2 linked regions of the Neodiprion lecontei genome follow. The protein of the gene in region 1 purifies or fractionates together with the protein of each later gene. This does not show direct contact. Links are inferred from orthologs where the notes say so. Each region holds a gene or a part of one and is shown in the gene's direction. Other genes may lie near its edges.

Region 1 (8,150 bases):
GCGTGGGTATAACAGGGACTCAGAGTTATATTCCACGTTGAACTGGGATTGGAATTCTCGTGCATGCGTCTAATATGTTTTTGTATTTGATTGATTTGTTACGGGAATGGACAAAGCTTAATGATGTTGTCTCTTAGTGTGGGATAGAGAGTAAAGATGGAGGAAGCTTGGTACTCAAGATGAGGCAAAATTTGCAATTTTGATAAAATTGAGCTGTATCGCAGATTCGAAACTGAACATAAAAGTGAGACCAGGAAATTGATATTATCTTTGGAACAGAGCAGGCGAGAAGGCAAATGCGATGCATCTGCATAGGCTAAGGGCACGGGTCCCGTAGGCAGCACTTGCGATTCGCTAAGATTTTTGTATATTTGACAAAACGGTCTATAATAGATGATAAGTTGATACAAACAAGGCGACTGAGATTATTAGTTAATGAATACTGTTTACATAATTAATAAGTTTAATAAACAAATAGCAGAGGAGGGTGCATCTGTGCAGAAACTGTGTTAAAAATACGCTGGCTATATTATTATACATATGATAATTAAAACGGAAAACAATGACATAAGAGAGAAGGAGCGAAGAAGGGAAATACACCGTGATGTGTCATATTGCGTGTGATGATATAATATATTATAAATATGAATTTTATTATTGAATAGACTTACTGATGGAAATTAAATATTGCAAGTTAATTTTATAGTTACGTTATTACATGATATATAATATTACTACTATTATTGTGTTATTATTTCCATCACGAGTGATCTATCACCGTACCGTATATAATAAAATATTTACTGCAACCATCCAAGGCCTATGTATCTACATGCATTGTTTAATACCATGAAGACGTTGAAACGAATAGCAAGAGAATATAAATTAATTATTTGTATCCTCGACTGATTCTGTACATTATGCAGTTACTATCCATAGAGTTATGCATGTATGTATGTACGTATGTGATCAATTTTTTTTGTCCGACGATATCTGGAGCATGACTTATCAGATGTCAATGATTTTGGTCTCGATCGACGCGACTTTTCCAAACTTAGAACCAATTAAATTTTGGCTCTGACCGGTTTAGTACTTTTTGAGTTATTTATGTAAGAACATTCGAAAAAATAAAACAAAAATAACGACATCTTTGGAATGATCGGATTCGAATAAAAATTGGTACCGCGAGGTTTTTTAGATCGCTGATCATGGATCTCAAATCAGATTTGCCAAATTTAAATTTATCGTATTCAATATGCTTGAAAAAAAATTAAAACATCTGGATTTTGATAAAAATTTGTACAGAAGATAAGTTAGGTCGCTGATCACGAATCTGAGGTCAGATTTGCGAAGTTCAAACTAGCGAATCCAATATGGTGGGAAAAGCAATATGGAAATACTCCGATTTTCGCAGAAATCAGTATGCGGAGGTCTTGTGGGTCATCGATGACGAACCAAGGTCCGACTGCCAAAATTTGTAACGATGGATCCATTATAGTGGTTTAAAATAAAAAAAAAATCATCATATTTTCATGTGATATAGTACTCGAAGCTCTCTGCTTGAAGGTTCTTGTCTCGGTAATCAGGAATTTGAATATGTAGTTTGAAATTTGAAATGGATATTAATATTTTGTTTTTTCTGTGAACTTGGAATCTGCAGCGACGAACACGGGAAGTTCGAGGGCTGGCTTACGGTCAGCCTAAAGCTGCTTGTGATATCTAGTTTTTTCACAGAGTTAGAGGCTCCAAATGAAGTTTGTCAATTAGTTATTTATGGTGCAGTAATACTTATCGTATGTTAATATTCGCAAATTGTTCAGTTTCGATCACTACAGTGGCAGTTTGCGATGGTAAGTGTATGCTCTGCATTATCTACTGCTTTCGTCATGCCAAGTACGGCAGAGTCGGCAGAGTATTACTGGGTTACCGACGCGCACTTACCGTCCGGGTACTTTGAAAATTGGTTTCAAATACATGTTTCGTGTCAGAAACCGCTACTCACTAATCTTTAATGAGCATTCCACAAGGGGGCAGCACCATCTAACATTTTTTTCAAGGCGTGTCGTGTTAACCGTTGACTAATGTGACGAGTGCCAAGAAGTGGTCGCGTGTGACTGTCGCGCGATAATCGTGTCGATGTCTCGTGTCCCGGATATTGTGATAAGATAACATTGATAAGAACCAAGGTAAGCGGAACAGCGATATGATAATCTTTCCTGATTTCATTGACGAGTCGTATCACTGCGTTTAGCTTGAACCCCGGAGCAACGCAACGCCTCACTCACTATTGTTTACGGTGCGCCCGTCGTGCACCGTGCCACTCCCTAGGTATTAAATTTTATCACGAGAAACCACGGAAAATAAATTTTTCACACGATCAAACAATCCGATTCTCGGAAGAGCGTGCATTGATTATTTTACTTGTTATTTCAACATTTTGATTTCTGATGTAATTACTTGTAATTTTATCTTATTTGACGGTTCTTCATATGGTAATTATCCTCGATTAGCTTACAAACCGTAAACTGTGACCCGTACAGTTGCGTAATGCTATTTTTTTCTGATTAGAATATCATAATAAAAGTAGCTGCGAACTTTGGCCGTACACCAATCCTGTTCTGCCATGGTTGGCCTTTGGTTGCAAGTCGCTTTGGTCACTACTTGGGTCATCCTTGTCGCTGCACAAGATCTAGGCGACGGAGAGTTGATATATCGATGTCCCCAGTACTGGATCAGGCACCAAGAGTCATGCTATAGATTCATAAAGAGTCCCTTGAGGGCTCGGGCAGAAGCTCGCAAGAACTGTCAGGCCTATCAGAGTGACCTGGTTAGCGTTGATTCTCTTGAGGAGCATGGGTTCCTCATGTATCAGTTGCAATGGCAGGATCCGCAGCATCGACGCTGGTACACAGGAATCAGGCAGCAGGGTGGCTACTGGTCTAACGAACCAGATGGAAGCCAGCTCGTGAACATGGATAATGCGTTCCTGCCCGAGCCCCTGGATAATGTGCAAGGGAAGGACTACTTGGTTTATACATTCAGTAATAACCTGAAAAGATGGGGATTCGAGAAGGTTACCGGGAATGAGGAGCTTTTGTACATATGCGAAGCTTCTGTTGTCAGCATGCACAATTTAGTCCAGGACGACCGTACCTACCAGTACGGCATTGAGATTAACAATCCCCTGAGAGTGCCACGCGGTCCTTACTTCATTAAGCAACCGGTCGACACCGTATTTGACTTGTCCAAAAGGAAGTTAACCAACGACGTCACTCTAAGCTGCTTGGCTGGTGGATTCCCAACACCTACTTACGAGTGGTTTAAAGAGATCTATGAGAATGATAGATTGGTTGCTAATAGGATCAACCCTTTGGAAAACAGTCGATACACTGTCAGCGGAGGAACTCTTATTATTTACGAACCTGAGCAGGTAATTATCCCTAAGGTACATCGGGCGATTAAGTAGGGAATACCCATCGTTGTCCATTCTCTCTTTAACCATGTTTCAGAAAGGAGATCCTGGATCCTATCATTGCAAGGCGAGCAATGAATTTGGCACAATTGTGTCAGAAAGTGTAGTGCTTTCTTTTGGATACATATTAGTGTTCAATCTGCAACGTTCCCAAGAGAAGGGTGATCAAAATTGGGGAAAAGCAATCTATTGCGATCCTCCTCAACATTTTCCTGGTGTCAAATATTATTGGACTCGTGATTACTTCCCCAACTTTGTTGAGGAGGATAAGCGTGTATTTGTTTCCAACGACGGTGCCCTTTACTTTTCTGCCTTGGAATCGATAGATCAAGGAAATTATTCATGTAATGTACAAAGTGTTGCATCAGATACTGGGAGAAATGGCCCTTTTTTCCCGCTCCGAGTCAATCCTCACTGTAAGTCTTGTCTCTTAATAATTCTACCACCTATGGTTTCACTAAGATGTTGATTCTCCTCTAACATGGTAACATTGATTTCAGCTACATTTCAGCAGCTTACTTTCACCAACAACTTTCCCAAAGTCTTTCCTGAAGTTCCCGTAGCCGGGGAAGAAGTTCAGCTTGAATGCATCGCCTTTGGATAGTATGCATTGTTTGTCGAAAAATTTGCACCCCTGATATTTGTCACACATTTCTGGTAACACTTGATCATTTTTTCAGTCCAGTTCCATCTTACAATTGGACACGCAGAGGTGCTGATCTACCACGTGGTGCAGTTTATTCCAACTATAACCGTGTCCTAATCATTCCACGAGTCCAAGTAGAAGACCAAGGAGAGTATGTTTGCAGAGCATCAAACAACAGAGCCTCAATAGAAAATTCAGTTTTTTTAACCATACAAGCTGCTCCAAACTTTACAATTCCGCTGGTAGACAAACACATGGATAACAGGGGTGATTTAACGTGGACCTGCGAAGCATTTGGCATTCCTGATGTTGATTACAAGTGGTTTAGGAATGGTGAAATACTAGATATGTATACACTGCCACTTGAGGATAGAGATCGATACACCATACAAGACAATGTACTTTCAATAAGAAATCTCAATCCTGAGAGAGACCAGGCGATGTATCAATGTCGAGCAAGAAATCAGCTTCGAACAAAGTATTCTTCAGGTCAATTACGAGTCTTGTGTGAGTTGCTTCTTCTGAATTTTGAATACTCAAATACCATATATTGACACAAGAATTGTTCGATCTTTCGTATACTTGCAGCACTGAAGCCATCTTTCAAAAAGAGGCCCATGGAGTCAGAAACATACGCGGCAGACGGTGGGAATGTTACGATAGTGTGCAACCCTGAAGCTGCGCCACGACCAAAGTTTGTATGGAAAAAAGATGGGAATGTTATTGGTTCTGGGGGAAGGAGGCGTATGCTTGAAAATGGAAACCTGATAATAAGTCCAGTTTCACGCGATGACGAGGGTATGTACACCTGCATAGCCTCGAATGAGTATGGAACAGACGAAACCCGGGGAAGAGTTATTGTACTTCGTAAGTAGCCGATGTATTTTTCGATAAAGCTTCAAGTCAAAACTCTGCGACTTAGGAAGTAACGTGTTATGTGGAAATTGTAGGTGGCCCGAGATTTATTGAGAGTCTGTATCGCCGTACAATTACTGCAGTGATGCGGAACTTGACATTATACTGTCGCGCCGAGACTGAGGAAATCTTAGATGTTGCTTACATATGGACACACAACGGGCTACGAATAAGAGACAAAGATCTGATAAATAATCCACGGCTACAGATCGATGCTGGGCTTCTTAATTTAGTAAACGTGACTTTTGCCGATGCCGGCGACTATGAATGTATAATCAAAAGTGCAGTTGGTAGGATATCGAGTAGGGCAAGCGTTATTGTTGAAGGCCCACCAGGTCCGCCAGGAGGTGTACAGGTCATAAGTGTCGTCAAAACTTCGGTGACCCTTCAGTGGACTGACGGAGCATTTAATGGCAGACCTATCACTATGTATAGTGTTGGCACAAGAACGAATTGGAATGAAACATGGTTTCTACTATCTGAAAGTAAGTTTCCAGTTCGTTAATTGTACTACACTATCGTGGGTTAAATGTCTGATGAAATATGCATTCAGGCGATGTCACACTTGTTTACAGAAACGGTTTTTTGACACTTCATGGTATAAAAATCTTTTTAATTACTAATTGCCATCACATCAAATTTCGCTTAGGTCAAAACTGAATCATTACAAGTGAGCAATAGTAGTCTGATTCCAGCAATACTTACCAATCTTTACAATATACTATCGGTTCCAGAGACTCAATTCTGGTAGCGCTGTAATTTACTTTGACCTTTCACAATATTGAGTATTATTGCATTGCAATTTTCACTATCTTTATCAATTTTATTTTACAGACATAACGGCTATCGAAATCGATAGGTACAACGGGCGTAAAGAAGCATATCTTGAAAATGTTCTCAACCCGCACACAACCTATGAATTTCGCGTTTCAGCGATAAATGACCTAGGTATTGGCGATCCGTCAAGTCCGTCACCTCAGTACAGCACACCGTCCGCCAAGCCGGGAATGGCGCCGATTAACATAGGTGGCGGTGGCGGTAAAATCGGGGATCTGACAATAACCTGGACACCATTGAAATCTTCGGAGCAAAACGGACCCGGGATATATTACAAGATTTATTGGCGTCGAAAGTCCGAGGAAATAGAATTCCAGTCTCTTGCGCTCAAGGAATACGGGAACACGAATATGGCGGTTGTGCACATTCCTTCTGAATATTACTACACACAGTATGAGGTGCAAGTTCAAGCTGCCAACGATGTTGGTTTTGGACCGCTTTCCGAAATCGTGACAATATTCAGTGCTGAAAAGATGCCGCTGGTCGCTCCGCAACAGGTTTACGCGAGAAGTTACAACAGCACAAGTCTGAACGTCACCTGGTTGCCAATCGAAGAAACGCGAGAACGAGTCCATGGTAAATTGATAGGTCACAGACTGAAGTACTGGAAAAAAGACAATGCGGAGGAGGATGCTGTGTATTATTTGTCGCGTTCGAAGCGTCCTTGGGCCCTTGTTGTTGGCTTGCAGCCTGACACCTATTATTTCGTCAAAGTAATGGTGTATAACTCCGCTGGTGAAGGGCCAGAGAGCGAACGTTACCTAGAAAGAACTTACCGCAAAGCGCCGCAAAATCCTCCCTCATCTGTCAACGTTTATGGCATCAATCCATCCACTGTTAAAGTAGTTTGGCGTTACGTTCAGCCAAGTTTGGCGGAAGAACCGTTAATCGGATACAAAATCCGTGTGTGGGAAGTCGACCAAGATATGAGCACGGCCAATGATACAATAGTTCCAGTTGGTTCGGCACTCGAGGGATATATAACAAATCTTAGTCCTGGGAAAGCTTACCACATGAGAGTGTTGGCGTTCAGCAATGGAGGAGATGGACGGATGTCCAGTCCTGAGCATACTTTTCAAATGGGAGACCCAGATACGTTTAGGAGCTCGGCAAGCAAAAAGATTCTTAATACTGGTCTTGGTGTGGCATTGTTGCTCTTATTAAGATTAATCAATTACATATAGTAACTTTTTTTCTAAGATCGCTCGAAACAGACTTGAACTTTGAGGCGTTACCAATTTTTTACTTTCATAAAATATAATTGATAATTTAGAGGTTTCTCTGTAACCGTCCATAGACATCGTTAATTGGCTATCAAATGTTGACGGTAGCTATTGAATGTAGACAATATCAAAATGAAAAAGGTGAACAAATGTTGAGAACGTCATTGAAGTCAGAAGCTTTAAATTATTATTAGGTATCATACGTGCATCTAAACAATAATTGTCACTTTTCAATCTGTTACAAAAGTGTGACGAGGTGATTCTCTATTGATGCTTCGACTACAACTTACAGATCTGACTCTTGATTGTTGAAAAGTATACCGTAGAGATATCTTGAATCGAGCCTTCCAAGACATCCCAAGATTGGTCTAATTTTCACGATACGTTTTACGAGTATATCGAGAAGGTCTCGTGTTAACATCCGAAGAGACTTGATGCCTTGCATTAACGTGCATGAACCGGTGTCAGTAGTCTCCGCTCGAGTGTGAGGGGTCCGTTTCACGGCCTCTTCTTGGTACACATTCACATATATAATACCCATGTACAATAAATACGTATATATATATATATATATATATAAGCAGTGTTGAACGCTTACAACATAGTTTTCTCCAACACAATTATCTTGTATGCATTATCAATCTCATACATTTTGTAGAGATCGTGTAAGAACAGTTAGCTGTGGTCCTCCCGAAAGTTACAATTATCTCTTTTTTCAGTAAATTATACAGATATCATCATGTGTCCATTATAATTGTAGGTAATATATAGATTTTCATTTAAATTCTTATTCGTGACTTTCAGCACATTTCTCAAGTTTTATTGGGAGTTGTTCCAACACTGCTTACAAGTATATGTAGCAGCGATCACTGGCCTACCGATATTTGGCAGTGATTCGCTACTGCGAATCTCGATTAATTATAAGGATTTCAAAATATTTCAAGATATTTTAATAGTTTCATTTTGATATTATATTATGACAGCTAAATTATTTTGAGAAAGAAACAGTGATTTGTTGCTAACATCTCTCTATTTTCCAATCGATTATCTTGTAAAT
Region 2 (5,003 bases), on another chromosome or scaffold:
GAATTAAGCTTTATAAAATGGCCTACACTGCAGAGAGCTGTAAATACACTGTTCTTCAAATGTATGGGATATCGAAGTGGAAAAAATTCCCTAAAAAAAGGTCAACATCATTTCTGAAATTTTTGCTCACTATATCTTACTACAATAATGTAATTAATAAATTAGCGTCCCTCCAAAAACGAGTTATAAAAATTGTAACGATATCTAATACGAATAAAACGCTGCAAAGACTCAAGTGTTCGTTTGATGTCGAGGCTTTACGCAATCAATATGATTATCATTATCAAAATTTCGAATCCTCCACTATAACAACGAGGAAAAAAGGTTTGATGCTACCCACGATCTACAAAACTGCTAACTTCAAAAGCAGTTTCATAACTTCGTTGAAGTTATTTATAGCCATTTAGTATAAATGGCGTACATCGATGCAATTTTAAAGACGCGAGCAAAGCTCAATAATGTGAGTTTTAATACTATCTTTTTAGTTTCGTATTCTATTCTCTTTACCTGTTACCTTAATCTTAATTTTTAGTTTACAAACACCATTATTACGCACAGGCAATTTTACCTGCCTCGTTAGGTTTTATTTGCGTGTGTAAAATATTGTAAATAATATTCTGCTGCTCAATAAATATGACATGTGGAATATGAAAATACTACTACATAATGAAATCACGTTCCCTTATTTAGCCATCGCTTTGTCACATGGCCAATAGAAAAAATCAACAGACGAAAAACAGAAAAAAGATAACAGGTTGAAATTCATGCGACTCACCCATTCTGCATCGCGACGATCTGTGCAAGCCTATCACAACACAAGTATATCCGCAATAAACCCTCATCCGCAGCTTATCTCCTGGTCCTGGAATCAAAATCCGTTTTTTATTATTTGAACATAAACGTCGTAGTATTTTTGCGCCTGTCGATTGTTTGGGTTGCTTCGGTGTTATCTGAAATCGCTTTACGTGAATATAGTCAAACGCCGAAACAAATGCATTCTTCTATTAAATTCACTTGTTCGGCAAACACGTGAGGAAAAAAAGAGACACACATATACAAAACGGTCGAACAAGAGGAAGCGTAGAGTAAATGAAAACGAAAACAACCGCCCACAAACATTCCGAAAACGGAGTATCAAATATCGATTCTAAAAATCATATAGACAAAAAGTAGTGAGAATATTTCGGAAGCATTTTCTTATAGAAATAGTGTTTAGTCGAATAAATTATGTGATACAATAAACAAATGCAATAAGCTCGTACTTGTACCTTGCATTTATCGTTAAATTTGATTCAATTCAGCCTCCAGATTTGATCGAAAGTTAGGAAGCATGCGAACCGACTACGAGCAACGTCCACAAATCACAACCGTTGACTGAAAACTGTTATCCCAACGGAACGGTTTCGTGTATCACATGAAATTGCGTGTCGATAAAAAAAACTACCGCATTACTGTCACGGCTTTACGTAGCCTCAGGCTTGCTTACTTACAGAGTAATGATCGCGATATTTTTCCCAAGAGCAAGCGTTCGAAACCCCGATTCCTCTAAAGTTAATCAAAAGTTTACACCAAGTTCAGCCTGTCTCGAAACTACACAGAAAAAATTGAACGTCGTATAAACCGTGTCGAAAAAAACGGGGCGTTAATCATTTGTCTCGTCACAACCAACTGCCGATCACTGATTCAAACAGTGCTGCCCTCTTTCGGAACGCTTACAAAGCGTTGGAAAGTCGAACAGGTCTCGAGTTCGACTTTCGGCCACCAAATGTCGCTCCGATAGATTTAAAAAATGTATGGATCAGCCAATAGACGTTGGGTGGAAACTTGGAAAGTGTCAACTGTGTGTGCGTCACTGGCAACTATAGTCTGACTATTCATTCGGCCACCTCACACAGCCACAGATTGAGTCGACTCACCGACTCGGACCGCGGCATTGCGTGGATCATTCATTAGTCAACCAGAGTTGGGTGTAACCCGTGTAACCGCAAATTCAAGCAATGTTATGATGTGCGTTATCAAGTACATCGTTCTCCTCTTCACCCTCGTATCAGTGCCGAAAACAAACGGATGTAAGTTGAAGCGACGAGCATATTCGAAAACAATTGAACCGAAGCATGTAGCTCTGATTCCGATAGACGAAATAATATTGTTTCAAACGTGAACTATCCCTTTGGGCCAAGCCCATATAACGCTCAACATGGCGTTGGCTTGCTCCAAGCGGCGACGTTATTCCGAAGACGAATTATCCAACCCTTGATTCTCTCATCCTCGCCAAATTACGCCGAGGTAAAACCTGACGCTTCGTAGTTTATTGTTGTTTTTTTTTTTCTTTCAGATGATTACGATTGCGGCATGCCACTGCTTGAGAAGGCTCAACTAAAGGCTACATCATCCCTGTCCGAACGAGGACCCGAAAATGCCAGGCTTAACGGTAAAAATTTTTATAATATCGTTTGATTTTTACGTCGAAAGACACAAGGCGAGACTAAGTCGGTTTAGCTGAATCCAAAATCGAACCAAACATGTGGATGTGGTGAAAATACGCCTGCCTTGAATACTGTGTTGTTGTTATACCGTAGCTTCTTCTTGTTGTCGGCTACTAGCTTTTCTCCTTATTACTCTTGATGTTGTAATCTCAAATTTACTTTCTTTCAATGAATCTTCGCTGGCACAAATATCGACTTCTTTGATTTTAATTATTCTCCGAACCTACAAAAAATTCTCATTGTTTATTAGTTCATTCAAACGAGAGGTTTGCAGGGCAGTCTTGCAAGCATTTATGTCACATACTCAGGGCTGATAACAATTCACTTTTGTTAATTTTTTCTATACGTATTGATCGCATCTTCTGTTACAATCATCTGACACGCTCCAAGTTCCTACTAACGATAAATTATATGCTATACTATTCACGTTCAAATTTGTCAGGTCAGAATAATCATATTGAAATTTTACAAGTAGGTAATAAAAAAAAAATTCACCTAATCGTGTAACAGCAAGGTTCTAAAGAAACTATACAATTTTTGTCACCACAAAATATATCTAAAACAAGCTTGATCAGCCAATTGAAAGAAATCAATAAAATGGTACAGTACACTTCCCGTAACTTCCTGCTCTCAGAACACTCAGGCCTAAGCTTTTATAGTAAGAAAAAATCAAAGTTGAATAGTACCCTGACTAAGCAAGATTATCTTTTTTTTTAATAATATACCAGTGTTCAACACATCGTGACATTGAGACATAAATTTTCATGAAACGATACGCGAACAAAGTAGTCGCTAACAAACGACGCACGTTGAGTTTCCCCAGTAGATATAGAAGTAACTTTTTTATTGCGAAAAGTATTTAGTCAACTCGATGAATGCATTGTACGTACTTCTCTACATCAGGTAATCACTCCTATCATTTTTATCAAAATTAGTGCTATCAGCCCTGTACGTATCATTCTAGATATACTAGCACTCATCCATCAGAAGATAAGCATGTAACTCTTTGAATCCTTGCCTTTATCGCCTCGTCAATACTCAGGGTTGTTGCAACCTGAGAAATTTCTAAGATTTGCAAAAATATATTCAAACCAAGATCTGAGACAATATTATACGCTAATATGGGTTTTATTTAGAATTCTAATTTCTGTCATAGACTGTGACTGAAAGCGTCAATATGAAAAGTTGTAATGCAAGAATCTAATGTGTGAATTAAAAATTTGTAACAATCCTGTATCACTTTCACTTATATCCACATTACGAAAGTGACCAGGTATTATTTTAACAGTAGATAATTTTTAGCTCAAAACATCAGTTGGTTTCTTACATGTAGATAAGAAATTTTATAGCATAGAAAAATGACACAATTTTGAAGTTCAAACCTTGCAACAACTCTGATTTATTTCCATATATTCAGGTTCAACCTTAGGTCTGAGTTTGGTAATCGAATAATAGCCAGAAAAAAAGTAAAATTGCGTCTTGTATATTTGCTTCAGGTGGATACTAAGAAGTCCCAAAATTTTACAAAACGGAGCCTGTCGTAGAAGTCCGCTGTGAAACAGTTTATTTATATATTGAAAAAAGAAAGAACGTAACTTATTTCAACATATCTGATTCTTGTTATGATAAAAATGGCAAGGTCGAGTGTTCGATGGGCGTTCAATTGGCTGCAATGGGATCCAAGTGAGACCGAATTCCTAAAAGCTATTTCTTGCATACAAATCGAAGAGAAGGAAAGAATCGGTAGATTCGTGTTTAAAAAAGATGCGAGAGCCTCTCTTGTCGGCAGATTGTTGATGCGTAAATTTGTAAATGAGTACGGCAATATTCCTTACGGTGACGTATCGTTCGGTAGAGATGAAAGTGATCGGCCCTTCGTGAATGGCGACGTTAAGAATCTAAACTTCAACGTGTCCCATCAGGGAAGCTACACAGTCATTGCTGGGGAAGTTAGAAATTTACTGTTAGGAGTCGATGTAATGAAGCTAGAGTACACCGGTGGTAAAAACTTGGCTGAATTTTTCCGAATTATGAATAGAAATTTTACACCTACAGAGTGGAACTCGATCAGAGGAGGTAACTCAAAATCTGAAATGGATCAAGTATCTATGTTTTGCAGACATTGGTCTCTGAAGGAAAGCTATGTCAAAGCTATAGGCGTAGGAATAACTATGGATTTATCAAGAATTTCATTCAAAACAAATTCGCCCTTAGTGGCGGGTCAGTTAGTTACGGACACTGAACTCTACTTAGACGGGGTGAAACAGAACTGGCTCTTTGAGGAATCGTTACTTGATTCAGATCACTGCGTTTCCGTTGCCTTACAAGAAAACAAATCTGCCCCAGAATCTCGCGGTATTAAATTTGAAACAATGAACTTTGAAAAGCTAATGGAAAATTCAGTTTCCCTTCATTCATTGGACCTTGAATATTGCAAGAAATACTTTGCCAAGCCCGAGCAGCCCGAGAAAAGATTTAGTTAGAGAAGTTTTGTTATCTTTATTAGTAAATAATGTT

Evidence for each region.
Region 2: the proteins of contactin (region 1) and neurexin-4 purify together in Drosophila melanogaster (affinity purification with western blotting; 4 studies listed by BioGRID). This does not show direct contact. The link is inferred for Neodiprion lecontei from reciprocal best matches to the Drosophila melanogaster genes Cont and Nrx-IV.

Annotation. Positions count from the first base shown.
Region 1 is NC_060264.1:36,260,851-36,269,000, reverse strand, and holds the start of contactin, read left to right. Parts: upstream 1-2,064; 5' UTR 2,065-2,186; intron 2,187-2,568; 5' UTR 2,569-2,623; coding exon 2,624-3,430; intron 3,431-3,509; coding exon 3,510-3,888; intron 3,889-3,972; coding exon 3,973-4,075; intron 4,076-4,152; coding exon 4,153-4,625; intron 4,626-4,706; coding exon 4,707-4,985; intron 4,986-5,068; coding exon 5,069-5,518; intron 5,519-5,867; coding exon 5,868-7,054; 3' UTR 7,055-8,150. UniProt on the Drosophila melanogaster protein: Required for organization of septate junctions and paracellular barrier functions.
Region 2 is NC_060263.1:7,609,052-7,614,054, forward strand, and holds the start of neurexin-4, read left to right. Parts: upstream 1-1,830; 5' UTR 1,831-2,002; coding exon 2,003-2,069; intron 2,070-2,335; coding exon 2,336-2,431; intron 2,432-5,003. UniProt on the Drosophila melanogaster protein: Seems to play a role in the formation and function of septate junctions.